2 linked regions of the Daphnia pulex genome follow. The protein of the gene in region 2 purifies or fractionates together with the protein of the main gene of each other region. This does not show direct contact. Links are inferred from orthologs where the notes say so. Each region holds a gene or a part of one and is shown on either strand. Other genes may lie near its edges.

Region 1 (3,227 bases), on a different chromosome or scaffold from region 2:
GGAGGATGGAACCATGTTACCGGATCCCAGTTCAACATCACGGCCCCCGCGCCCTAACAGCATTGAAGTGAAACGTAATTACCCTAGCGAAGAGGCCATCTACGCATCCAGGAACTCGCGTAATCCGCAAGACAATGTGTACAGGTCGGTTAAATCACACGTTTTTTTACTTTTGTTGGCTGTCTGTCAAATGAAATTGATGTTGTCAACGTGTGAGAGGGTGTTGGCGTCAATTTTATTTGTTCCCAACAATTGTCATCGGTCTCTTTGCCTCTATCGTGTGCTTGGAATTTCACATTTTAAAAATGTTGTCGCTTCATGGCTTGTCTCCATCTGTCGCTGGCGTCCGACGCTTTTTACAGACCTGCCGGAATTTCTCTGCCGCCTCCGCCTTACGACGACGGCTACCCGCAGTATCCGCCTCCGCCTTACACTGCCGATTCGCTGCTGCAGCTTCAGCAGCAGCAGCAGCAGCAACTGCATCATCAGGCACAATATCACCAGCACGCAGCTGCCGCAGCATCCAGTCACTATGGCCCTGGAATGATGAATCACCACAACCGGACGTTGCAACGGACCACATCAGGAAGGCCCACGCAGCCTCCACCAGCCCCACCCGGGTAAACTAACCAAATAACCCAATAGAAGAGATACTGTAGATAACTCACTCATTATTACTCCAGTGTCACTTTATTGATCTCGTTACATCACGAATTTGTCGTCTCATCATTTGTTCATATTGTCTGTCGAGCTTTGCTTTGCTACGCTTAATTGATTAAGCTGCGTCTTCTTAATGTCGTACCGTTTACGCTTTGATGAAAAATATTGAATAATCATGAACTAACAGTCTGGTTGAATCCGGCAGGCAAATGAATCACTCGCCCAACACGACGCAGCAGAGTGGGTCGACACCGACCAGAAATCGCATGAGCCATCAGACGTCCATTGTTGGAACTATGGGTAGAGAATCGCTTCCGCCACCACCTCCACCACCGTCAGAGACCTATTCCAGCGCTGATAGGCTGTCGCAACTGCCCAATCCGCCGTACATCTCGTCCGTCATGGTCAACTCGGGTCCTCCATCAAGCACTCCTCCTCCTCCTCCACCACCACCTCTGCCACCTTCCGCTATGCTGATGCCACCGCGTGAGAGCCGCGAAAGCTCTTCCGAATCTGATTTGCCGCTCCCACCGCCTCCTCCGCTTCCTGATACCGCCCCGCCCGACATGCGAATGGCTCCTCCACCGCCGCCACCGCCGCCGCCGATGCCACTCAGCAGCCCACCGCGTGACAATGGTCACGTTGTGGCTAATGGCGATATCAACAAATTGTCGAGCACTTCGCCGCCCAAAGGATCACCAGGAAGGGGAGTGGTTGAAGCGATTCAATCATCGCCTCTGTTGTTGCAAGCGGCCAAATTGACCCCCCGTGGACCTCCTATTCCTGTTCCAGCGCTTGATGGACGGAGTGACCTTCTTAAGGCCATTCGAGATGGTAATTTAAATTTGAGTCGGTTATTGACTCAAAACGAAACTAAAAACTGGTTTACTCTTTTTTTTTTTGTAGGTATATCGTTACGTAAAGTAGAGAAGGGACAGCAACAGCAAGGTGAAAAGGGTCGAATGGATGCTCTTCACGATGTCGCCTCTATTCTAGCCCGTCGAGTGGCTATGGAGATTTCTGATTCCGAGTCAGGTTCTGACTCTGGTTCTGGGTCAGATTGGGATGATGAGACCAGGTATGATTAAATATATCTTCTTGTGGGTTATCGGTTCACAACTAATTTTTGGATCTTTTGTAACACAAGTGCTTGATGATTGTATACCTTACACGGTGCTCCGTTCTGGTGCAATTAACCTCCATTTGGACTTGAATGGAAAGAAGAAGAGTGGAATGATGCATTTTTCCACGAGACATGAATGAGACAGAAATAAACGCCATTGAGCAGATGATATTTAGACTCACCAATTTTGCGAAAACACAACAACAAACTTAAGGCGATGGGTTGTCGATTGCGTTGTTAAATCCAATCTTCGTGGCCTCCCAGCATAAATTCCAAATCTCCTAAATGGCACAAAACAATCGCATTTCCTTGAAGAATACACACACACACACACACTATCAGCAGTGTTAGTCACTTGTTTCCCCCTTACCTTCTCGTCCATTTCCCTCTATAAAATAAAGTAAAGAAAAAGAAAAGACAACACACCCCTTTAACAAATATTTGTACAGTTGAGCGTCATTTTTTTTTCTTCTTCTTCTTCTTCATTCATCAGCCAGGAGCTGGGCTTTCGTGTATTTCTGCTTTCGTTTCATATCTTTTCATGTATTCTCTGTCAATGTGCAAGTTCACTCTTCTTTATTTACCTGATTGAACCTGTTCGCATCGAATCTTGCCCTCTTCCCATTAATAATTAGCATATAATGTAGCTTCTGTACACCCCCCCCCCCCCCCACTGTGTTTTGACTCCCATCCTTTCGTGTCTGTTCAACTTACTCATATCTAAACTTTTAACTAATTAGATGCGAACCTCGCCCAACAAATGAGTGTATAACAGTGATGATTTAGGAATAAACTACAAGACCATTTTTCGGTTATTTCGTCCTCATTTGAATCAGTTAGCATTTTGGCGTCTTTAAGGAAAATAATCCGGCACAATGCACGGTTTCGAAATTTTGCTTCCTGCTGTTTCGATTACCAATGTTGGGAAATTATCTCGGAATGTCAAATGTGTTTTTATCTATTTTATTTCAGACTTTTTTTTGGGTTTTTCTCATGAAATATGTAGCAGGAAACCCCAAAAATATTTTTTTATGTATTGTATTTTTAATACTATTTAATATCATTATATTTCAACGTATTTATTTGGTTTAAAGTTTAAACTCTTTTTTATTCGTACCGTGTCGTGCCTTGCGTAAGGTATTTTTACATTTTTATTGCAACTCTTAGCCGCTAGATGGCTGTGTTCGATCAGCTGTTTGCTTGCAGAGAAACTCTTCAGAAAGTGGTAAAAGTGACACAAAACAGTTGTTCTGGGACTGTTGTTAAGAGTGAAAGCAGGTGAACGAGCTACCTGTCATACATATTGTATAGCTTTCTTAACTCTGCCCCATGTGTTTTACGGATTCATCAAATCAGATCCTGTACAGCTAAGGTAATTTGTGTGAAGTTCGTAATTAGACCCGGCCTGGGAGCACCTCAGATTTTTTGGTGTTGAATATCAAAA
Region 2 (3,756 bases):
AAAAATAAATGAGCGTTTCGTTTAATAATTTACCGACGGCTTTTGGGGGGCGAAAGAGGTCAATAAGAAAATTTCCGTCGGGTTTTTGTAACATTTGTGACTTGAGTCATGGGAGATGGTTACAATTTTAGATTATTTTTATATGGAAGTACTTGTTTAAATATTTCTTAATCACAATTGTTAGCGCACGTGTGAATAGTAGAACTGGTGTTGTAAAATAATAAAACTATTCTTCTTATTCTCTTATCTTATTTCGTTTTTTTTTAATTACATCAAAAAATAATTGTAAATAAATAAAATTGATGTAGTCGAATCTAGTTTCTCATACGTAAATAAGCTGCTGGGTTTATCATGGACGGAAAGGTTATAGAGTCCATTTACTCAACCCTCTATTTGTTGAAATTAATTTACACTCACGAACAAGACAACAATCAAGGAAGAAGGAAAGCAAAATTGGCAGAAAGTCCGAGATGCCTCAATCCGACTTGAATTAAAAAAAAACAAAACAAAAAAACTTGTAGTTAATTCCCTGAATTCAGATTTCGATTATTTGGTATGTGCGAGGAGAGGACGAATTTGGTTAGTCTTTCTGTCGAAGAATCAACACGTGAGATGGGGTTCTCTAAAAACCACTAAAATAAAAAAGAAAACAAAAGAATGAGGAGCACAGTAGAGGAGTCGAATGAATAAATATAAATAAATTTACTTATTGTATTATTATTATAACGTATAAAGGAGAGAGTAGAAAGAAAAATGGGATGTGGATAGACGGCATTGATGTTGACGATTAGTAATTAGTATTCAAGGTATGACTCTTCCCTTTTCAGCTAACCAAGGTTATCCATCCCCGATGCCATAGCAGCAACAACAGTTTGATGTTTATCTTTCTATTTATTTATTTATTTTTCCATTTTATGACCAAAATGTTTTACAAGTGGAAAAATAATATCAAATGATTATTAAAAAAAAAACTATCGGTGAAACAGAGAAGAAGAAAAGATGCATATTATAAAGGGTAGCACTGTGCTTAGCACATGCTATCGCCTTCGTACCTCAGTGAACGGAAACGAATCCGTTCCTCACCACTTGGGGGGTTCCGTTTTTCAGAACGCAGGAAAAGTTTTCATGCGTTTCCGTTCACTGGTCACTGGTGAAGATTGCAACGCCACAAAGCATCTAGCGTTAGAATTTTGAAACATTTCAAGCAAAAGATTGGACCAAAAATAAGGGCGTCTGCCAAGTTTGTTGAGTTTGACTTTTCAGTGCATTGTTGTTGATGACATCCGTTTCTGGGTAATAACACAAGCGTTGGTTGATTGCCATTAAAGTAAACAACGTCTGCTTATTACTTAATTTCAAAATCTATTCAATCAGTGACTTGGGTTATGCTACAACATGGCTACCGAGAAAGTTACACTCGCCGATGCGTTATCTAACGTTGAAGTGCTAGATGAATTGCCACTTCCAGATCAACAACCATGTATCGAAGCTCAGGCTTGTTCAGTTATTTATCAAGCAAACTTTGATACCAATTTTGAAGATCGAACTGCCTTTGTAACAGGAGTTGCGAAATACATAGAAGAGGCAACTGTTCACGCAAGCCTGGTAAGCAATAGCTACAATGAGAATGACTAAACTTTGTGTTTCAAATATTAATTTTGTAATACTTTGTTTTAGAATGATATGCTTCAAGAAGGTCAAGAGCATGCTGTAATGCTGTACACTTGGAGATGCTGTTCAAGAGCAATTCCGCAGCCTAAGTCAAATGAACAACCCAACAGAGTTGAGATATACGAAAAAACAGTTCAGGTCCTGGCTCCAGAAGTCAACAAGCTGTTAAATTTCATGTATTTTCAAGTAAGTATAATATACTCAATGAATTTAAATTGTTTGTATGTTTTTTCAGTTAACTGACAAAGGTTGAATTACTTAATTTCAGAGAAAAGCAATCGAGCGCTTCAGTGCAGAAGTGAAACGACTTTCCCATACGGAAAAGCGTAAAGATTTTGTTTCTGAAGCTTATCTTCTCACTCTGGGAAAATTCATTAATATGTTTGCTGTTCTGGATGAATTGAAAAACATGAAGTCTAGTGTAAAAAACGATTACTCTGCATACCGCAGGTAAGTCAAATATTATTCTCTCCACCATTAAAAAATAAATAAAGATACCTATTGATGTATTCTATTAGAGCTGCCCAGTTCCTTAAGGTGATGACAGATCAGCAAGCGTTACAAGAATCCCAAAATCTGTCGATGTTTCTAGCTACCCAAAACAAAATTCGCGATTCACTTAAAGAAGCTCTCGAAAAAATTCCATCGTAATGCGGCTTTATTTTTATGAAACTGATAACGACTAATTAATAACATTTTTAAAAATGCTTCATTTAGTTATGAGGAGTTGCTTGCCGATGTAATCAACTTGGCCGTTCATATGCTGGAAACTCGCATGTACCTTCTTCCGGAAGAAAAACATATGCTGGTCAAAGTTCTCGGTTTTGGATTGTTTCTCATGGATTCTGAAATATGTCAGATAAACATTTCCAAACTAGATCACAAAAAGCGAATTAGACTCGACAAAATCGACAAAATTTTTAAAGTTTGTTGGCTCTTTTGATTTTATTTCATAGACTATTATTAAACCTTTTGTTTATTTTTACAGAATCTGGAGGTTGTCCCTCTGTTTGGTGACATGCAAATTGCTCCATTTAATTATATCAAGCGGTCAAAAACCTACGATGCTTCACGATGGCCCTTGTGTGGTGCAACTCTACCTTCACCTCAGGCTGATTTAATGGTTCATTTGCCACAAATCCGTGAAGATCACGTTAAATTTACGAGCGAACTGGCACGCTATAGCAACGAAGTAAACTAATGTCATAGAGGAAATAATGCGTAATGGTCTTAAAAATAATTTTTGTAAAACAGGTCACAACTACTTATAAAGAAACGCGCTCCCCGGAGGAGATGAAAGAAATGATGGAGCTTGCTCTTCGTGGGCTACAGCTGCTGTCTGAATGGACCAGCATAGTTACTGAACTTTATTCTGTAAGACTTGTAGTTATTTTTTTTTTTTTTAATTAATTTCAACTAAGAAATTCATTTGTGTAATTAGTGGAAACTCCTGCATCCTACAGACCATCACCAGAATAAAGACTGCCCCGCAGAAGCAGAAGAATATGAACGCGTAAGGCTTGTTAACATGTTATTTAAAATTGAATTTGTTTTTAAATAAGCCCATTTACGGATAGGCTACCCGATACAATTACACCGAAGAGGAGAAATTTGCTCTCATTGAAATCATTGCCATGATAAAGGGATTACAAGTTCTCATGGCCAGAATGGAAACGGTATTTGCGGACGCTATACGTCGACATGTCTACGCTGAATTACAAGATTTTGTTCAGCTTAGTTTGCGTGAGCCCCTAAGAAAGGCAATCAAAAATAAGAAAGACTTAATTCGCAGGTAAGAGACAGAGAGTTGAAAGATCTGCAGTGTAAACTGGGACTGTTAGTAACTGAGGTTGTTTTAGCATTATCGTCTCAGTCCGAGAAACCTGTGCGGATTGGATTAGAGGCACTGAGCCACAGGACGACCCAGCTACTAAAGGGAAAAAAGATCCTGATAATGGGTTTGATATTCAAGTTCCACGACGAAATGTTGGTATGTCAAAAAATCAAACAAAAGACGCTTCTTCTTTACGGACATTCTGCCTTTATTTTACAGGACCTTCTTCGACCCAACTTTACATGGTTCGC

The links. The genes of interacting proteins can lie anywhere in the genome.
Region 1: the proteins of cytoplasmic FMR1-interacting protein-like (region 2) and uncharacterized protein LOC124196242 purify together in Drosophila melanogaster (affinity purification with mass spectrometry; 3 studies listed by BioGRID, with this or other methods). This does not show direct contact. The link is inferred for Daphnia pulex from reciprocal best matches to the Drosophila melanogaster genes Cyfip and SCAR.

The regions. Positions count from the first base shown.
Region 1 is NC_060022.1:714,561-717,787, reverse strand, and holds the end of uncharacterized protein LOC124196242, read left to right. Parts: coding exon 1-144; intron 145-362; coding exon 363-620; intron 621-865; coding exon 866-1,494; intron 1,495-1,566; coding exon 1,567-1,738; intron 1,739-1,807; coding exon 1,808-1,814; 3' UTR 1,815-2,589; downstream 2,590-3,227.
Region 2 is NC_060025.1:3,988,873-3,992,628, forward strand, and holds the start of cytoplasmic FMR1-interacting protein-like, read left to right. Parts: upstream 1-1,181; 5' UTR 1,182-1,293; exon of another isoform or gene 1,294-1,374; 5' UTR 1,375-1,395; coding exon 1,396-1,605; intron 1,606-1,677; coding exon 1,678-1,857; intron 1,858-1,939; coding exon 1,940-2,121; intron 2,122-2,189; coding exon 2,190-2,318; intron 2,319-2,388; coding exon 2,389-2,596; intron 2,597-2,659; coding exon 2,660-2,863; intron 2,864-2,925; coding exon 2,926-3,045; intron 3,046-3,112; coding exon 3,113-3,184; intron 3,185-3,248; coding exon 3,249-3,463; intron 3,464-3,530; coding exon 3,531-3,661; intron 3,662-3,724; coding exon 3,725-3,756. UniProt on the Drosophila melanogaster protein: Plays a role in guidance and morphology of central and peripheral axons and in synaptic morphology. Also required for formation of cell membrane protrusions and for bristle development.